Rattus norvegicus: one gene and its partner. The protein of the gene in region 1 purifies or fractionates together with the protein of each later gene. This does not show direct contact. Links are inferred from orthologs where the notes say so. Each region holds a gene or a part of one and is shown on either strand. Other genes may lie near its edges.

What was found. The genes of interacting proteins can lie anywhere in the genome.
Region 2: the proteins of Nod2 (region 1) and Ripk2 purify together in Homo sapiens (affinity purification with western blotting; 12 studies listed by BioGRID and IntAct, with this or other methods). This does not show direct contact. The link is inferred for Rattus norvegicus from reciprocal best matches to the Homo sapiens genes NOD2 and RIPK2.

What each region holds. Positions count from the first base shown.
Region 1 is NC_086037.1:34,585,359-34,595,752, reverse strand, and holds part of Nod2 (nucleotide-binding oligomerization domain-containing protein 2), read left to right. Parts: intron 1-5,110; 5' UTR 5,111-5,118; coding exon 5,119-5,577; intron 5,578-10,394. UniProt on the Homo sapiens protein: Pattern recognition receptor (PRR) that detects bacterial peptidoglycan fragments and other danger signals and plays an important role in gastrointestinal immunity.
Region 2 is NC_086023.1:34,429,092-34,439,485, reverse strand, and holds part of Ripk2 (receptor-interacting serine/threonine-protein kinase 2), read left to right. Parts: intron 1-1,831; coding exon 1,832-1,917; intron 1,918-3,082; exon of another isoform or gene 3,083-3,206; intron 3,207-5,558; coding exon 5,559-5,645; intron 5,646-6,807; coding exon 6,808-6,901; intron 6,902-9,113; coding exon 9,114-9,275; intron 9,276-9,747; coding exon 9,748-10,085; 3' UTR 10,086-10,394.

The DNA.
Region 1 (10,394 bases):
GAACTATTCCTGGTTCAGTTGCCCCCCTCCACCCCCTTCTCTGTAGGCCTCAGTTTCTCTTTTAGCCTTCAGAAATACTCTCTAACCCCAGCTGCTGCTTCATAATCCTTGCCCCAGCCTCCTGCTTACCGTTACTCATTTGTGAGTGTGGGAGTTGGGATCAAACCCTATTCCTGCCCGGACAGACCCACACCTCCGTGCCCAATGCCAGCTAAGCGCTCAGCCTTTTGCTTGGCTCTCTTTCAAGCCTTTGGTGCTGTCTTTGGACAAGCCAGCTCCCAAGCCTCTGGATAGGTCTGAGCTGGCTGAAGCTCTGACTTCTGTGTCTTTTTTAGAACCTGCAAGGTCCTGGCCTGGGATGGGGGCATTGGCTTTCTGGGATCTCACCCAGGGTTGTTATCCTGGAGGGGAAAAGCCCCATCCCCATCTCTGTGCTCTTGGTGAAGAAGACCAAAGAGTCAGCTTCATTGGCTCTGTCTTAGTCTGTTGTGAGGTCACTGGAGCTCCTGGTTTCTTGGCCACTTGATGCCAGTTGGCCTCTACATGCAGCTCCAAGCTGGCACTGGCTCCATCTTGCCCCCTCTCTCCCACCCAGGTCAGCATTGCAGAGTGGCCCAGTGAACAGGAACTTATTGTTAACAAAGTGGCTTCTATACCTGTTTGGCCAAAGTGTGTGCCTTGCAATCTCTGCTCGCTGGTTCCACAGCTACCTCCCCACACTGGGTGGAATAAACCCACCCTCAACTCATGCAGACCCCATCTGTGCCCTGGGTGATACACAGGGTTATGGTGACTACATCCCGCTAACACCTGCCATCTCAGATGACAGGAAATACTGTGGGGAGAAGAAGCTGGGACAGGGCTTGGGGACTAGGGTTTTGCATAGCAGAGGAAGGCACCTCTGAGACAGTCACTACTGAACAAAATCTTAAGGAGGTGATAGGCAAGTCATGTGACTATCTTGGGGGATAGAGAAAGCTGTGTGTGTGTGTGTGTGTGTGTGTGTGTGTGTGTGTGTGTGTGTGTGAAAAGCAGGAGCATGACAGACCAGAGCAGGCTTCCTTGTTCTGAGAGTAAGGAGCAGGCCAGGAGCTACGGCAGGGTGGAAATGGGGTGGGGGAGTGGGGGGTGGTTAGGAGGAAAGAGGTGGCAGCTGAAATCTCTTGTATTGGGCTTGAGGTCACTCTATAAAAGCTGTTGGCTTTCACTTTGACCATGTGGGAGCTGTGAACAGCTCCTGCTCTGACTTAGGGTCTGGCGGGGTTCATCTAGTTGTGAGGCAGAGATGGAGATTCATGGCAGATGAGGGAACTATGAGGGTGCTGTAGAGCTTACATCATGGTATATGGCTTTTAGACTTGGAGTCTGTTGAAGGTTGGGTGTATAGTCTGTGATACTGGAGAGAGGCAGAGTCAAGCCTGACTGAGCGTTTGGGGCCGCCGTCGTCTGGGAGGGGTGCTGTTAGGAAGGAGATCCAGTGATTGATTTTGTATTTGTCTTTTGGAGATGCTGGTACGCACCACTCGATGCTGAATAGCTCCCAGTAACATTTCAGTCATTGTTATCACACAGTTGGGAATTGGGCCTGTGGGCAGAGAAGCGTCAGTAATTCAGTTCTTGGTGGTGGTGGTGGTGGTGGGGGATGGGGGACAGGACTAGGAACCACTTGGAGACAGAGTGGCTAGAAGGAAGGAGAGTGGGAAGTGGGGTGGAGTATCAGAGAAATCCTTCATGACTTTTGGAGCAGTGCTCCAGGGAGGAGGGTGAGCAGCAGTGCTCCAGGGAGGAGGGTGAGCAGCAGTGTTCCAGGGAGGAGGGGGAGCATCAGTGCTCTAGGGAGGAGGGAGAGCATCAGTGCTCCAGGGAGGAGGGTGAGCATCAGTGCTCCAGGGAGGAGGGTGAGCAGCAGTGCTCCAGGGAGGAGGGGGAGCAGCAGTGCTCCAGAGAGGAGGGAGAGCATCAGTGCTCCAGGGAGGAGGGTGAGCAGCAGTGCTCCAGGGAGGAGGGTGAGCAGAGTGCTCCAGGGAGGAGGGGGAGCAGGGTGAAAGAATGCCCTTGATGACAGAAAGGAAGGTGGGGAACAGAACAACTGGAAATCATGGAGGGGGAAGGAGTTGGAGTGTGGACTTGGGAATGGCAGTTCAGGTCCGGACAAGGGAGAATGGAAAGGAAGGATAGATTAGTCTGTTGGTGCTCTGATGGGAACTGGTTCCCTGAGAAGCAATTCAGAGTTGGAGCAGGAGAGTGGGGTTAGTTAGTGCCCCAGAGAAAGCTTAGCCAGCCAGGGCTGGGACAGTTCAGGGTCACATTTCCCTCTCCCCTGGATGCTTCCCTTCTGCTCCAGTCTGCAGTAGGCCCGTGGCACTGCAAACTAAGTCCTCAACTAGGGACTTCATGAAAACCAGGCTACCTATGATCCTGGACAGGAAGGAAGTGCTAAGAAGGAAAGGTGGGCTTGGGGACTAGGAACCTTTGAAGATACCTTTGGCCCTTTATTTCAGAAAGGAGGTGACCCCTTTGTTTGGGTTGCATCTTGCAGAGCCTAAGAGTGACCCCAAGGTGGCAGTGACCTGGTAGAGAAGACAAGGGTGACAAAGCAATGTGTTTAGCCTGGGGAGAGCAAGTCTGACCAGGTAGGACAAGGACAGGTTTCTGGGACTAACGAATGGAGAACTTCCTGGCTGCTCTGGAGGACAGTACCAAGACCAGACCTTCTTTTCCAGCTGTTTGGGATGAGATAGGGGCTTGGCCTTCTAAGAGGCAGGGGACTGGCAGAATTGATCTTTGGGGATATGTCGTGCCTTGTGTCTGCAGACACTGGCAAGATGGGAATTTCCAACTGCAGTAGAAGACAGAGTACCAAACCACATACATGGCCTTCCTGCCTCACCCCACCTGTATCCACATGGCTGATGTCATTGTCAGGGTGTGGATGGTTTGAGTATCCGATAGGCTCTTTTTTTTTTTTTTTTTTTTTTTTTTTTGGTTCTTTTTTTCGGAGCTGGGGACCGAACCCAGGGCCTTGCGCTTCCTAGGTAAGCGCTCTACCACTGAGCTAAATCCCCAGCTCCATCTGATAGGCTCTTAACATGTCTGCGGAGGGCGGAGGGCTTCTGCTCCCTCACAGCTGTTTCCGTCTGGGAAAGCACATTTATTGGAGACACCTCATGTCACCAGAGTCTTTGAGTGAAAGCCAGTGTAGATGTACCAGGTTTTGTGCCAGGACTGCCACGAACTAGCAAGTTCTGTGTGCTGGCCTGCCACCTCAGGCTTCCTGCTCAGGTTTTTGGGATTTCCCCTTGGGTGGGTTGGCCAGATCAGGGACTGCCTGTGCAACTCCTCTGGGCTTTTGACTCATGTGCTTTGTAGAAGGAGGAAGCAGTAGGCATCTTACCCAGCATTCTCTAGGCAAAGTGAGGTGGGCCATTCAAACTTAGTTCTTTTCATTCTCCACCACTCCCTGGCTGCACCTCAGGCCTCAGGCAAGAGTGCTGACCTCACCTCTGTTTTCCTCTGGGTAGGAAGGGCCAGTGGTTACTTTTCTCAGGACCGAGGCAGGTTTGCATAGTTGAGACTCAGCCCACGACTTGACCCCAGCTCATGCTGCCCCTTGCTGTCGTCTGCCTCTTCCCCATCCTTGGCTCCTCTGCTTGGGCTGAGCACAGGGCTCAGGTGACCTGCTTGGCCAGTGAAGACTCTCAGCTCCTGGTTTACAGTGGCCTCCACGATTGGGATACCTTCTCTCCCGAGCTGTCAGATGTTCAGGTAGCTTCACTGCCTCTTCCGGCCAGCCCCAGGCCTCCAGCCTGCATGCTAACAATGTGGTGTTGACTTAGTGATTGTGGATCATCCCAGAGCATTCTAGCCCCAGCCTTCCCTGACTGGGCTTGGAGTTAACATCCCCAGGGCTTCCAGTGAGCTCATTGCTTTGCAAGCTTAGGGGTGTCAGAGTGAAGGAGTCCTAGCCTGCAGTGTGCCTGCCATAGAGGAAGATGGCAGGTCTTACAGCAAAGACCTGAGCTCCCCAGGCCGTTTCCAGCTGCCCCCACCCGTCTCCTCGAACATCTTAGAATGTCCAAGATTTTGAAACAGAGCCTTTCTTCTGCTTCCTCCTTGCCTAATACTCTTTCGCTTTCTTTTTCCCTGGGCACAGTCCCAGCCCGGAGGCGATTACAAACTGGCCCGCTGAGATTTTTCTCTGTTGCTTAGGGATCTCCATGCTTGAAGTTTCTGATAGTCTCTTCCTCACCGAGCTCCTGAGGACTGTGGCAGCAGGGCAGTGTGCAGTGTTCGTTGCTGAATTCATAGGAAGGAGCCAGGGCCTTTGGTCAGGGATATGGGGTGTGTGTGTGTGTGTGTGTGTGTGTGTGTGTGTGTGTGTGTGTGGGCGCGCGTGTGTGTTACTACCAATGAGTAGCATACCAGTGGGCTCTGAACCAACTTTGTGTGCACTATGACATCCCATTTTTGCTGGAATTGGCATCTTTACAGTAAGCCCCAGCTCTACTCATGGAGCAGTAAGTAGTTATATACAGAGGCAGGACTGAAGGCCTATGGGAATACCAAAGAGACAGGCAAAGGCTTGCATCAGGCAAGAAGTCCCACTGCTTGGGTTCAAACCCTGGCCCTATCTTTCTTAGCTGCAAAATCTCCCTCCCACATGCCTTGGTTTCCCTCTTTGTAGATGGGACTGACACAGCACCTGCTTTCTCGCAGTTGAGACTGAGAAAGGAAATCTTTCAGTAAGACACTTAGGGTGAACTTATTAGATCCAGTGGTTCCAAAGTTGTATGACTGAGCGTAGTCTCTGGTAGAGCCCATGACCCTGCCTAGGAGGGGACTGATCCTCAGAAGCCGACTTCTCCTGTCAGCTCTGCCTTGTGGTGCGAGACAGGGTATGGGAGACCAGAGACTCGAGGATTTAAATGTTTGGATACTTTAAACCCATGGAAACTGCAGCTAGCTTCTTGATATACTGGGGCCTGACTTTGGGAACAGCGCCTGACTACAACTGGCCCACTTGGACTTGGCATAGTTTGCTCCCTACAGCCGTAGCCTGGCTTCTAGAGAAGTCATTTCTTGACCTGTGGCCTTCCCTGCTCTCTTACAGGTTGTGACATGTGCTCACAGGAAGACTTCCAGGCCCAGAGGAGCCAGCTGGTGGCACTGTTGGTCTCAGGGTCCTTGGAGGGCTTTGAGAGCATCTTAGACTGGCTGCTGTCTTGGGATGTGCTCTCCAGGGAGGACTATGAGGGCCTCAGCCTCCCTGGGCAACCTCTCTCCCATTCTGCCAGGCGTCTGCTGGACACAGTCTGCAACAAGGGTGTTTGGGGCTGTCAGAAGCTCTTCGAAGCTGTGCAGGAGGCCCAGGCCAACAGTCACACCTTTGAACTGCAAGGGTGCTGGGACGTTCACTCCCTTCATCCCACCAGAGACCTGCAGAGTCACCGGCCAGCAATTGTACGGAGGCTCTGCAGCCATGTAGAAGCCATATTGGAGCTGGCAAGGGATGAGGGGTTTCTGAGCCAGTACGAATGTGAGGAGATCAGGTTGCCAATCTTCACATCATCCCAGAGGGTAAGCCGTGGCGTGTGTCAGCAGAGTCCACAGGAGCAGGATGCTTAGCCACCAAGACTGTGACTCTTGTAGAGTCAGTCCCACGGAATAACGCCGTTGGTGGGATTTCCCGCACGCAGTTGGCCAGGCAGGTCAGAGTTGCTGCGGCAGCCAAGGGCTTGGCCTCGGTAGCCAGAATGATGCAGTTCGAGGCCAGTTCGGCGTTCGGCATTCGGCATGACTGGATGCTTCTGAACATCCCACAACACATCCTAAGCTCTCCATCTGTTCCTTTTTCTTTCTTCTTTTTCTTGTTTGTTTCTGAGGCTTCTTGTTCTACCCCAGCCTTAACCTCTGCCCTTCATTTCTCCCATCTCACTTTCCTCCTCTGCAGGGTACTGCTCACCTCCAATGCTCAGGTTTGGGGGAGAGCTCCCTGAGCACCCATATACCAATTAGAGATGTGTCTGGCATCACCACCCGCCCCTGGCTGCTGTCATTTCTGTTTGAGTGGCCCTCTGTACTTGCAGACTTTCGCATCAACAGATCGATGGAGAATAATTCTGCATTACGTTAAATCTGAACTTAATCGTGTAGCCTACTGTGTGCCAATATAGTTTAAACACCCACCTAGGATTTTAGATTGAAATAGCATTAGAACTAGTCCCTGAAATGCAATGATTCAACAGAAACCACACTGACAGAAAAGTATCCCTGGGTAGCTCTGAAACTTCTATTTTCCTGTAAATAATGGTCCTCAGGCTGTCTGTGGAACATGGAAAATGGTAACATTCTACTTTACAGTTCTGGGAAATCAGCAGGCTTTAGCCTTGACCCATCCATCCATCCATCCATCCATCCATCCATCCATCCATCCATCCATCCATCAATCCACAGTCTATGAGGCTTACCGTATGCCTGATTCTGTGCAGAAGCTTGCTGTGTTGAGAGCTTTACATGTGATAGGCGTCTGGTCAGTACTTGGTGATGAAATAAATGAGTTGTTAGAACTACGTGTCAGCGTGAGGATGGGTGAGTTGACCTTGGGGTGAGCTTGGGGAAATTCCCCTGGGGCAGATGCAATGAGCATCTCTGGGTTCAGCTTGAGGCGGGTAAGTCTTCACAGAACACGCACGACTTAGCCTTCTTATTCCTGCACACAGGGCCTGAAGGTGTGACCCTGTGTACCTTCTATTCCATTGGCATTCAAAAGCACATATTAATAAATCCTCAGTGCTTCCTGTGATCGGTTGTGGGGATAGGACCAGCTCACCTACCCAAGTGAGACCGTAATTCATCACCTTTGATGTAGTGCTCAGCAGTGAATCCAGGGAGGATTCTCCAAGGATCTGAGGAAGGAAGCCAGATGCTTATCCCCCATGGGAGCGTTAATACCCAAAGTATCTAGACTGTCCAAGAAAAGAAAATGGGATAACCTACAGGCCAAAGAAGCAACCAGTGGCTAGCCAGAAAGAAAGATCTAATCGAGGTCTGTTGGCTGCAGCAGGACCGAGGGGGCTATGACCTATTGGAAAGAAGAGAGGCTGAATGGGCAAAGACTCTTATGTCAAGAAAGAATGAAGTGTGGCCAGATGCCTTTAACATAGGACTCAGTGGGTTTCAGGCCAGCTAAGACTACATGTTAAAGCCTGTGTCGAAAGAAAAGAAAGGAAGGTAGGAAGGACAGGCGGACAGAAGGCCAAGTAGACAGCAAAAGCCAACACTGAAGATGAAGGAGTGAGCTGAGGGAAGGGACAGTGGATAGCACCTCTGAGGATTTAGAGGTGACAGAGGGGCCCCACGGCTTGAAGTAAAGTGATTAGAACCTGCTTTGTCTTAGCTCCTCAGCTCTGGCATCCTGGGATCTGTGGCTTTCTTTCCCTCAGTGACTCAATTTCTGACTCCGTGTAGGTGGCATTTATGGTATCTCCAGCTGACAATGTCTCTAGTATTTGACCTTTTAATTTCTTGATAGAGGTGGCTCTCATTGGTTGAAGGTTGGGAACTGAAAGTGTGGAAGGAAGCAGAAGTTGGGTTAAAGAGCCCCCTTTATCCCCATTTCTGAGCATTACAGGGAGGGTGCACACTTGGCTGTGGACCAGCTTGCTCTCCAGTGGCACAGTTAAACCCTGCTACATTCTTCCAGCGGTGAAGGGCGTGTTTGTTGAAAATGAAGAACATATTGCCTGTTTGAGAAGGGCTAGCTAGGAACTGGATTTCGGTCTGTTTCTTTCCAAGGAGTGTACACTTACTTCCCTTTGTGTCATAAGATGTGAGAGCTTTGCGTAGCTTTGCTCAGTTGGGGATAACAGTTGTTGGGAAACCTCAGGCTGGTAACACCAACTGTGATGCCAGCTGTCCGTGTGACTCATGCAGATGCTAAAGCCCATGGGGCTGAGGTATCAGTGTAAGCTCTGACTTGCTTGCTTCTCTCATAGAGCCAACTATGACAGTTTTATATTGGGAAAAGTACCACGCCTACAAAATAGTGTATAAACTTCCTATGTCTAGAGTAAAAACTTCCCCATATCCAGATGAAGAAACTGCCTTATTGATACCCTATCCTTTAGGTCTAACCAGTAGAGGCAACCAGTGATCTAACTTGTCTGTTCATCATTCCTTTGCCTTCGTTTATGGTTTTGTGTCTTTTGCAAGAAATTTCCAAAAAGTGTATTTAATTAAAAAGAAAAGGAAGAAGGAGAAGGAGGAGGAGGAAGAGGAGGAGGGGGAAGAAGAGGAAGAAGAGGAGGAGAAGAAGGAGAAGAAGGAGAAGAAGGAGAAGAAGGAGAAGAAGAAGAAGAAGAAGAAGAAGAAGAAGAAGAAGAAGAAGAAGAAGAAGAAGAAGAAGAAGAAGAAGAAGAAGAAGAAGAAGAAGAAGAAGAAGCAAGCTAAACATAATTGTGTCAGGAAACAGAAATATTACCTTTTCTTCTTAGATGGAAACTCCCAGGACTAGGGATGTGTCTAGCTTCTCCTTCCTTGGGAGTCTGTTTTGGGACCTTCTAGTAGGCCAATGTCATTGATGAGTCTAGGGAAATCCTGGGCTTGTTCAAGCTGGAGCATCTGGCGGAGCTGGGGTGAACAAATGGGCAGAATGTCACTGGGAATGTAGTTTGGGGAAGTGGAGCATGCAGCCCAGTCTGCTTTAAGTCTGATTCTGACTGTGAGGACTAGGTCAAGGGTAAGTAGTTCTATGGATGACACCATTGTCCTCCCGTGACATAGGCTGGTTTACTCCATTTGGGTAGACCATCTATCCTCTCCAAATATTCTATTTTTTTAAATAGACAATTTAGGAATTGAATTTTCGGAGTGTTTAAAGCTTCCCTCATAGTTGATTGGCAGTTTGATTGGGTATAAAATCCTAGTGGCCCACCTGTAAGCCCAGCTTCCTGGAAGGCTAAGCAGGCATATAGAAAATGTAAGGCCTATGTGTACTACGGAGTGAGTGGGTTTAAGAATAGTCTGGTCAGTTTGGTAAGACCATGTCTCAAAGTAAAGAGCTCTGAAGTCATACCTGAGTAGTAAGAGCTAGCATGTGTGGCACCCTGAGTTTTATTCCCAACACTGCAAACAATCAAATTAGTAAATTAATATACATTCTGGCCATCATTTCCCTTTAGAATTTTCATGGCATTACTCCATTATCTTCCCTGTTTAGGGCTGCCACTGAGACTTCAAAGACGATTTTCTATCTCTTTCTTAAGCCTGTCAAAATTTCTTTTAGTCCATAATATGCTGAAATTTGTTGTTCCCTTTCTTCTCTCTTCATGGAATTGTAGCTGCTTGAGTGCTGAAGTTTCTGGATGAACCCTCCAGTTCTCTTCCGTTTTCCATCACTGTGTGTCCTGCTACTGTTGTTTTTGAGACTGGATCTTACCCTGTAGCCTGAACTGCCCTGGAACTCCTATGTAGCACAGGTTGGCCTCAGATTTGGGGCAGTCCTCCCAAGTGCTGAGACTACAGGCATGACCCACACAGCTGCCTTTTGCAGTTTTCTGTGTGGTATTTTCAACCCTGAACTCTTGAAGTTTTCATCTTTGCTTTGGCACTTGCAGCCTGTAAGGGCTATTTTTACTGTTTCTTTATTACAGCGACTTGCTCTTGGTTTAGGGAACGCAATCTTTTATGTAGACAAGATAATACTGTTTTTTTTGTTTGTTTGTATGATTGATTGAGTTGTTTAATTCATGCTATATACATTTTTGTGCTATTGATGGAACCCAGAGCTTTCACATGCAAAACAATCGCTCTACCACTGTGTGACATCACTCACTCCCTGTATAAACCTTCAAACCTTCTCTTCCCTATTAAATTGGCTCTGATCTCCTATATTTGATACTTTCTTTGGGCATAGGTAAGTCTTGGTTATGTGTCTTATTATTAAAAAGACAGATTGTGAAATTTACTGAGCAAGCAGGTGAAAGCTGTCCACAGTGATTTCCACCATAGGTAGTTAGGAAATGGTAGTGTATATAATAGTTTATAACTTTAGAACTTTTCTCCTGGGTTTACCAACTTCCTCAAATAGAAATCCTTCTGCCTGTGGTGAAGGCTGATTGCAGAGGTCTGGGAAACTGGAGGATGAGTGACCTGGGTAGTGGAAAGGTAACCTTGGCATTCATTTTCTACACAGTCATTTAAACTCTGTCTTTGGGTTATGGCTGTTGCATTATACCTGGGTTCTCCCTGTCCTGAGTTCCCTTTTCATCCATTCAGAATGCAGATCTCCAGACAGCATGGCAGGCAGGGACAGTGAGCAGCTGGCTAGTGCTTTGGGATGGGGAAGAAAGGCTGGTTCTCTATGTCATAAATTCTTGGACTTGTTCCTTGTCTTC
Region 2 (10,394 bases), on another chromosome or scaffold:
TCCTGCAGCCTGCTTATAATCCCAGCTCTTGGGAGGAGAACAAACTGACTAGATAGACTAGCCTAGCTAGCTAGACTAGAGAAGTAGCCAGACTGGTGAGCTCTGGCTTCAAATGAGAGACCTGCCATGGCCTCAGTATAGAAAGTGGAGAGCAGTCCTTTGCAGATGCACATATATGCAAACATGCACACTATGTTCCCATCACACACACCACACACACACACACGCACACGCACACACACACACACAAGTAAACGACTAAGATGTTTGGAATACATTTTGATATCATATATCTATTGAAAGGACTTGTGTCTAGAAATAAAAAAGCGTTGTGACTCATCCAATAACAAGACAAATAGTACAGTTTTAAAACTGTAGATTGGGATTTCACCAAAGAAAATACATAGTTGACTAAAAGGCATATAAATGGGCAGTTCACATCACTAGAAAATACAGACGGAGAGAAACTAATCCAAGCCCATATTAGACCTCTGAAGCATTTCTTAGAAATTGTATAGAGGAACAAGGAAATAGGTTGCAAACAAAGACTGTAGTCTCTGTCTAAGAAGGAGTGCTCTAAGGAGGGAGAGGTCCGTCATGTCTACTCTGACTGTAGGCCATGTAATCAAGCTCTTAGCTGAGTGTGGTGGTGAGAGACAGAGGTAAGAGAATATATTAGACTCGGGAGTTTGAGGGTAACCTGTATGTGCACATATGCATGTATGAGTGTGTGCATGCGTGTGCATGTGTGTGTTTGTGCTTGTGTGCGTGTGTGTGCATGTGTATGTGCGTGTGTGTGTGCGCGCGCAAGTTCACGTGTGTACAAGCATATTCTGTCAGTGTCCAGACTTAGTTCTTTCCTTTCAGCACGGTGCTGGAATCAAGCTAAGGCAGTCAGTCTTCACAGCAAGCACCCACTGAGTTATCATCCTGGCCCACCCTCGTAGAATACTTCATTCATGCTAGATAAAAGCCCTTCAGCAGATAATTCAACTTGAAATATGTTCTCCTATTCTGTGGCTTTGATTCTCATTTTTTTTAAGGATATGTTCTCTCTAGAGCCAGGTTCTCAACCTTCCTAATGCTGAGACCCTTTAAATAAGTTCCTCACGTTGTGGTGACCCAAACCATAAAATTATTGTTGTTGCTACTTCATAGCTGTAATTTTGCTACTGTTATAAATCGTAATGTAAATATCAGATATGCAGGATATCGGACATGTAGGATATCCGATGTGCAACCCCTGTGAAAGGGTCATTCAACCCCCAAGAGGGTCACGACCCACAGGTTGAAAAGCACTGCTCTAGATTATAATTTTTCAAATTGTTTTTGGAAGTCTGGTTGTTGGGTTTCTGTAAATCTTAACTTTGACCTCACATCTAAGGATTTTTCCCTAACTCCCCTAACTCGAGGCTTTGAATATTTGCTCCTGTTTATACTTAAGTAAATGATCTACTGTGACTTAATGTTTATGTATGGTATGCAAATAAGGGTATAAATGACCTGTTTTAATATGGGTATTCAGATGGCTTAGTAAAGTTTACTTTAAAGACTGCCCTTGCCCTGTGGAATTTTAGGCCTCTGTGGAGAATCAGCTTTCCAGAATTGTGACAGTTCACTTGAAGGCTGCTAACTGGGTTCTGTTGGTCCTCATGTCTGTTTATGCCAGCAGTAAAATTCCTTAAAGTAATTGGATGTCATCGTTTTATTGAAAGATTGATGTGGAGCCTTATAAGATAAATGTTAACATTTCCTTTTAATTATTAGAAGTGATCTGAACTTAAAATTGTTGGGTTTTTGTTTTTTTGGTTTTTTTCTTTTCCTTATTTAGAATGCTTAATAGAACTTGAACCAGTTCTGAGAACATTTGAAGACATAACTTTTCTTGAAGCTGTTATTCAGCTAAAAAAATCAAAGGTAAATCTCCCTTTGAAACTTTGTAACTTAGAACTTTACAAAACTGAATGTCACTCCTGAAGTTTTAAATTAATTTCCCAGAAACAGGCTAGAATTGGGGGTTGGAGTTGGGAGAATTTACAAGGGTCAAGATTGTCACCAGTGGGCATTTCCATTTCTCTCAAATGGGCCACCTTCAGATTTAACAGTTTCAGAGTCTGCAGCATATCAGATGTGGACTTAGGATCTCTGCTAAGGGTCCTGTGCACAGCAAACGCCCTGTGTCACTCACAGCCGCGCATATGATAAGTGTTGTCTGTGTTTCCTTCTGTAAGTGCTAACACCTGCAGACTTAGTTCTAGCTCTTCTTTCAAGTACTTGGGATTTTTTTTGGGGGGGGGTTGTTTTGTTATGGTTGGTTGGGTTATTTTTGTTTTGTTTTGTTTTGAGATTTATCACCAAGTAAAACAGTCACATTTATGTTATATTTGATCCCCCAAAGTGTACTTTTATTCCTCGGCTTTTATTTTGTTTTCTCGCTCAAATACTTCACACTGCATAAACCAAACTGTCAGAAAAGTTAATGTAAACTACCTGGGACAGTTGTCTGATCAGTGTAGCTCTTGTGGATCAGAACAACTGAGGATTTATAAAGCATTTGTAGCTCCTTTAAGCAAAGTGAGCGTAGGCTAGCACTTGCTGGGTTTCATTCATTTGCACTGTGTATATGATAATCAGATTGCCAACTAGCCCAACTCTTGACTGATTAACAAGCATGATCTACTGTTTCTTTATTGACTGTGACAGTGTTTGCCTTCCCCTCTGATTTTGCTGGACCTACTAGCGCATGACCTTTCATTTAAAGATTAGTTTGTAAAAGAAACAGCCACTCATAATCAAAATAAAGACTTACTATAGCAATATTAATATCTAACTTTTCAATTTGACTCCATTGATGAACATGTCTTTTTTTTTTTTTTGCAAATACCATGGCGAGTATCCAAGTTTTAGAGGAACTAAATATGAACTCTGTATTCTTTTTCTAACATCTCCAACTCACCAATTTCTGAGTAGGGTTCAGACTTCTCCAGAGATACCAATGTCTGTTGTTAATGTCTGTCTTGTCTTTTCTTTTCTTCTCCTATTTTCTCCTTACAAATTTATCTTTTTCTCATCTTTCTCTAAGCGAAACTAGATGAGTAGGGACCTGGTGGTACCGTCCTGTAATCCCATCTACTTGGGTAGGCTAAGAGGAGGATTGCAGACTCAAGGTGTGCCTGGGCTACAGTGTGAGCTCAAGGCCAGCATGGGTAAGTTAGCTAGACCTGTCTCAAAATTAAAAATAAAAAGAGGGAGGGAACCTCGGGGTAGAGTTCAGTGGCAGAGCATTAAACAAAAAAGAAACAGACAAAGAAGGAAACACAGAGGCCTACTGTCTTGGCTGTGACGATAAAGCAAACTGTCCCACACCCCTTTTCTGTCTTCAAACACTTCAAGCACTCACATACTATATGTAAGGCTTGATGTTTAAAAGTTGTATCTTCTTAAGTAAAGTATATGTTTTCAGATAATTTAGTAATCACATGGTGGATTTATCATTGTTTTCATGTCACAGTGTTATTTTACATAAAGTTACAGTTGGGGAGGGTGAAGTCCTAGCTTCTTTAGATGGGATTATTGCACTATAGAAACGTTAGCCACACAACAGCCCAGACAGCGGGGTAGGGAGTTAGAGGCCAAGCATGGTGGTGCTTCTCATCCCAGCTGCTCTACAGGTACAGGCTGAGGAACTGAATTTGAAGCCAGGCCAGCCTGACAAACATAAACAGTATAATGAGACTCTGTCCTACACAAACACACGTCTAGAATGGCTTGTTTTACTTAGATTTTCTATATTTTAAGTTCTTTTAAAATTCTAGTTCTTACTATTTGGGTTTGTCCATGTTAAGTGTTTCCTATATCTTAAAAAAGAAAATAAAAAGTGAACCAAAAAATTTTTCTTTTATACTTTCTTATATTTTTCCTCTGGTCCATGAACAATTTGAATTATCTTAGCTCATTAGTTTGTTTTTTTTTTTAAAAAAAAAAGGATATTGCTTATAAAGAACTGTATTAGAAATGTTTCAGTAAAAGTCAGGAAAACTTTACATAACAGACATAGCCAAAAGCTAATTTAAAGATGCATATAGAATTTTACATGTGGTGTGGTGGTGCATGTCCTTAACCCCAGAGTCAGATGGCAAAGGCAAGTGGATCTCTGTACGTTCAGGAGGAAGATCCAGCTCCTCAGGGGTCACATAGTCTCGACCCGCACAGAGACGCTTGCTGAATGACAGCGTACCGAATAATAAACTAGATCACTGTGTATGCAGGCGGCTACGAGTCTTTTCCTCCCGCTGCAGCAGGAAGTTGTAGTGAGACGTGGAGAGCTTGGTGCAGAACCCCATGTAGAGGGGAAAAGTAAACTTAGCTATGTGTGGTACTTTTCACCTGTAATAACAGGATTCCGAAGCAGAGGCAGGTGGATTGTTGTGAGTTTTGGGGCCAGCATGGTCTAGGTAGTAAAATCCAGGCCAGCCTGACCCTAACTACAGAGTGAGATTCTGTGTGAAATGGAGTTGAGGCAGGGAGTAGACTTCCAGATTTGTTTTTAAATGACTTAGTAGTGATGACAGCTTGTCTAAGTCTAGATTATGGAGTCAAATTTAAATCACTTAAGTATAAAACTACTGCATTTAAGGAAGCAAATCACCTATATAGCACCTACCTTCCATTGAATACCTGCAAGTAATCTTAGGGCCCTTTTGCATGTATCACTTCTAATTCTCCTTATAGTAACCCTACTAAATGAGTATCCTTATCTTTAACATATAAATAGGAAAATTAATGTTAAGTTGCATCCCCTGGCCCTTGCACATGCAAGCAACCCTAATTAAACTCAGTACAATGATAGATAGATAGATAGATAGATAGATAGATAGATAGATAGATAGATAGATAGATAGATGTTATATATAGATAGAGATTTTTTAACTTTTTAATAAAAGTAGGACAGAGGGCAAGATGAGAAGTAGAGTTTCAAAGGGTGTAGGAGGGACATAAGAAGAAAATGGACTGATGACTGTGACCAATATACATAATAGATATGTAAGGGTCAGTTAGTGACACATCATGGGCTCTAGACTTGACCATGACATAAACACGAGTGCACACACACACACACACACACATGTATGAGTGCACATACACACACCATACCATGGTAAGACACTACCACCTATACATCAACCCAACCTTGGTTTCTTTTAAGTACAGTAAAAATAGTAATAGAATTTAGAGTATAGTCTATGAAATACAGTTTTGTATAGTAACAATCATGGATAGATAGAGCACACAGCAAAATTGAATGCCTGGCTGGAACCAAATTCTTTATTATCTCAATCTTTAAATAGTCCTGTTTGTAATTATTAAAGATGAAGCCGTAACATCTTAAAATAATATTTATTAGATCAAATAATGAATATGTGGCAGGATGCAAAGTCTGTTCCCTAGGCATTTCTTATTCTGTACTGTCTCTAATTAAGTTATATATTCCCAAATGATGTAGATTTTGTTTCCACTGATTTTTCTGTAAACACAAAACATGTGTATGTTTGTTCCAGATACAGAGTGCATCGAGTACAATTCACTTATGTGATAAGAAAATGGATTTATCACTGAACATACCTGCAAGCCATCCTCCACAGGAGGTACAAATATACCTGTTATACTAAACTTGAATATGAGAGGAACATTAAAACTCTTTTAGTCAAACATCTCTTATATAGATGGAAAACTAAAGTCCAGGAAGCATTAGCTAAGTAGTCATGACAGTCTCTAAGCTGAAATCTCACTCTTTGGATGATGCTCTAGGGCCGTGTATGGGTAAGTCATCAGTGATAATTTCACCACCGTTTTATACCACCCTTCTACCTCTTACAATAAATATTAAGTTTCTGCTGCTTTCCAAGAGCTATTTCTTTAATTGGTCATTTTTACGAATCATTTAAAGATTATATATCTATTTTACAGGTTCATAAGAGTAACAGTACATTCAAAAGAGCACTAAAGCATACCACATAGTTGTGTTTTTTTTTTACACTTGTGTATACAGCATGAGTACATGTGGATGTTTGCGTGTGTGTTAAAGGCTAACTTGCAGAAATCCATTCTCTCCTTTACTATGTGGTTCTCAAGGATCAAATTCAGGTTATCCACTTGGCTACCCACCGAAACACCACACTGACCCACAGTACATAACTTCAAAATCACTTTTATATAAAGCATCTGGTTTGATCATTGAATAATATGCTAATTTTTGATGAAGCATTAAAGCCAGAGAGTTTCAGTGAATTTTCGCAGGGCAGTAAGCAATCGGTGACAGAGCTAAGAGGGGAAATCTCCATAGTTTCTCCAAGCATTTCTCTGTGCCTTCAGGTTGAAGGAGCTGAGAATAAGCCTTTGCTCTAAATCAGTAGGTAACCACATGTTTCTCACTCATCATTATAGCCACTGAACAGGTCCTCTGAATCTGATGGCTTATAGTTATTTCCAGTATTGCCCCATCCCTTCCATTTGAGTTGATAAAGAAATTAAATTTAGAGATTAAGGATATAGCTCACCTGGCAAGTCTGGGGCTCTAGGTTCAATCCCTAGTAGAGAAGAGGGTGAAAAAGAAATTATATTCACTTGTGATGCTTTTATACCTTATTTCTTTGGCTCTGTAAACTATAATTTATAATAGCTCCGGTTTTCAATATTTGATAAGCAAGAATCTAGAAACTATAGCCATGTAATTTTAAAGATGATGCCTTTCTACAAAGCTTTACGTATATGACTCCCCTCAACCTGTTGACCCTCGGTTTACTTTAGGAATCATGTGGATCCTCTCTGCTCTCTAGAAACGCTGGTTCTCCTGGAACCTCCAGGTCTCTGTCAGCTCCTCAAGACAAAGGTTTTTTCCATGGTATGTCCATTTTTCAGTCAGCATGCTTACATAGCCTTTGCACCTTCTTTCAAATTATACCCTTGGCAGACAGATGTTGTGCATGAAACACATTTCTTATTTGCATTCATGCTCCATTTTTTTTAAAGTGACAAGTTGCATATGTAAAGGTAGGAGTGGCATGATGAACAAATATGTTTATATTAAAGGCATTCTGGGATCATGATGGAAAGGTTGTTTTTCTTAATTTCATAAGAAAAAAGAGAAGTGTTTCAAAGTTACCATAGTAACTATATTTTAAGAGGGATATAAATATATAGATATATAGATACAACTACAGGAAACAAGACACATTCTTAAGGAAGTATTTTTAATAGCTGTGTGAGGGAGCTAGTCTTAGACCTTGTTTATAGATTACGAACTCTCTCTGGATCACATAGCACATAGCTAGAAGATCCAAGATGAGTAAAGCCAGGCTCTTTGACGAATACTTTCATGTCACTCTACTGTATTATTCCATCATGAAGACCTTATTTCTGGCTAAAGGCTGACCTCAACTTACGACAGATAGGTATTCCGTAAAAAGAACAATATGGAGTCCAGAAGCAAGGAACAGTCAGTGTGTAATTTAGTTTGTCTTATACATAGAGTGAAAAAGAAGAGATAAAAAATGAAGGAGGATTACAGTGGTATCAGCAAGAATTCCTTGAGCCTGGAGAGATGGCTCAGGATAAAGAGTGCTTACTGCTTTTCCAGAGCACTCAGGCTCAATTCCCACCACCCACACAACATCTCAGAACTGTCACAGCTCCAGTTCCAAAGAATCTGCCACCCTATTCTGGCCTCCATAGACACTAAGTATTCACAGTGCATAGGCATAAATGCAGAACAAAACTCTTACACATACATATATATTTTTAATTTTAAAAAATTAATTAAAATAGAAAAGAATTCCTAAGTGACTGTCAAAAGAAGGGTATCAGATATAAATTTTTGCTTTAGGAAGGCTCATCCTGGTTGAAATTTGAAAAAAAAAATATTGTTTGGGAGTTGAGGGTAGATGTGGCTAGGGCATCACAAAGAGAGCCACACATGCCACGGTGCACATGTAGAGGTCAGAAGTCATCTTTTGAGAGTCACTTACCCCTTTCCACTGTGGATTGTGGGAATCAAATCGAGGTGAAGTTAAGTGTATTGACCCACCGAGCCACCATGATGGCTCTGCAGAAGCCACTTGAAGGGAAGAGGAGACTTGGAATAAGGACAATTAAAAGGGATAACAGGGAAGGCAGTGAGAGAGATTAGGACGACTCCCTGATACCTTATGACTGCTCACCTGAGCTGAGGGAGAAGGCCATGAAGCTAAATACTACATTGTTAAACTGTGAAAACACACAGCTCTTAGAACTAACAACTGGGGGTAGGGGTTGGGGATTTAGCTCAGTAGGCCCTGGGTTTGGTCCTCAGCTCCAGAAAAAAAAAAAGAAACTAACAACTGAAATGGGGTTCAGTTAAATGGATGGTGATTATGATTTACATTTTTTTTATGTTTTGTTTGTTTTGTTTAGTGCGTATTGGGGAGATGTGCAGTGAGCCTCTGAGAATGTTGAATGTGTTCAGTAGTGACAGAAAGATAATTACAGAAACAGGATAAACAGTTGGAACCCTGAAATTGTTTTCTAGAGGGGAAAGCGGAAAACACATGTCAAATATAGACTTATAGCACTTAAAAGTCCGGGTATCTGACAGACAGACATAAGACACATGTAAAGTGGAAAGGGGGAGTTCACAGGGAAGAAGGTTGAGATTGTGAGAACATCGGAAACTTCCTGATTTATAGTAAACATAGACCAGGCAAGTACTAACAGTAGTTAAAAACAAAAACTAGTCAGTATGAAGGTTTATTCCTCTAAAAAGTGTTGGCAGGGCCAGCTAGATGATTCTATGGGTAAAGGTACTTCTTAACAAGCCGGCAACCTGAATTTGATCATCTAAATTCACATAGTAGAAAGAGAGCTGAATCCTACATGTTGACCTCTGACCTTCACACACACACACACACACACACATGCACATATGCACATGCAAATATTCCAGGTATTTTCAGAATTGGATTTCTGAAGTAGCTTCAGTGACACTGCAAAACCAAAGCCGTTAGAGCCTACCTTCTATGTAACCCAGCCGTTGGTATTTTATCTAATGAAAGCTCTTCCTGTGATGAACTGTTCTGTAGGAGGACCTCAAGACTGTTCTTCGTCGAAGGCGTACCATTGTCCTGGAAATCACAGCTGGGATGGTATCATTTCTGTGTCACAAGAGGCAGCCTTCTGTGATCGCAGAGCCAGCTCGTGCTCCTTGACTGTGATAAGGCCACTGTTGGTTGAGAAAAGTTCAGGTGAGTGTATGCTGTGAGTTACACTGCAAATGCTGGTGTTTTCCTTACAAGTACCCGAAGCATTGATTCACTGTACAGTAAGTTTTCTTAGTTTTCATCCCATGCCTCATTTAATATTTGTTTAAGTAGGAAAGCATTTCCAAACTGAGTGCTGACCACATGCATTCTAGGAATCTCTAACCTAGAAGGAAGTGTAAGAGGAAGCCTTACTTTCACTGTTAGATAGGCAGGTACCCTTAATATTTGAACAAAACAAAAATTAAAGTCATTGTGCTCTACGACATAACATGTAAAAACATAATATTCTTTCTGGAAGGGGAATGGGGAGCTACAACTCAAGTCTCTGGTAGTTCCTGGATAATGGAAGAATGTTCAAAAAATACTCTTCACACCTTACTCACTCACGCAGAATCATACTCGTTGCCTGTGTCTGTCCTCGGCCCTGTAATTCTCATGCGCTGCTTTCTTGCAGAGCGCCCACAACCCGGGATAGCACAACAGTGGATCCAGAGTAAGAGGGAAGCCATTGTGAGCCAGATGACTGAAGCCTGCCTGAACCAATCCCTGGACGCCCTTCTGTCTCGGGACCTGATCATGAAGGAGGACTATGAACTCATTAGCACCAAACCTACAAGGACCGCAAAAGTCAGACAGCTGCTAGATACCTCTGACATCCAAGGAGAAGAGTTTGCCAGAGTTATAGTACAGAAGTTGAAAGACAACAAGCAGATGGGGCTTCAGCCTTACCCGGAAGTACTTTTGGTTTCCAGAACACCATCTTCAAATGTCCTTCAAAATAAAACCTTATAAGGGGGCCTTCTTTGAGGGGAAAGTCGGTTTACAAATGATTATTTATATTTCTGTTACCTGTATAATATTTGTATAAAAACATGAGAGTATTAGATGCTTCAGTGAAGGTTTTTGGAAGAGTCTCTTCCCATGACGTTGCAGTATTTTTTTTTAAATTAATATAAGTAAAAAGTTTGCATTATGCTGTGTAGTTCAGTTTTTATGTCAGCTTCACTACTTGAACTTTTTTTTAATGTGATAATCACATTTTTCTTATATGTAACAAGCCTTCGTTTCTGATGGAAGACATTTTCCCACTCACCTGACCTG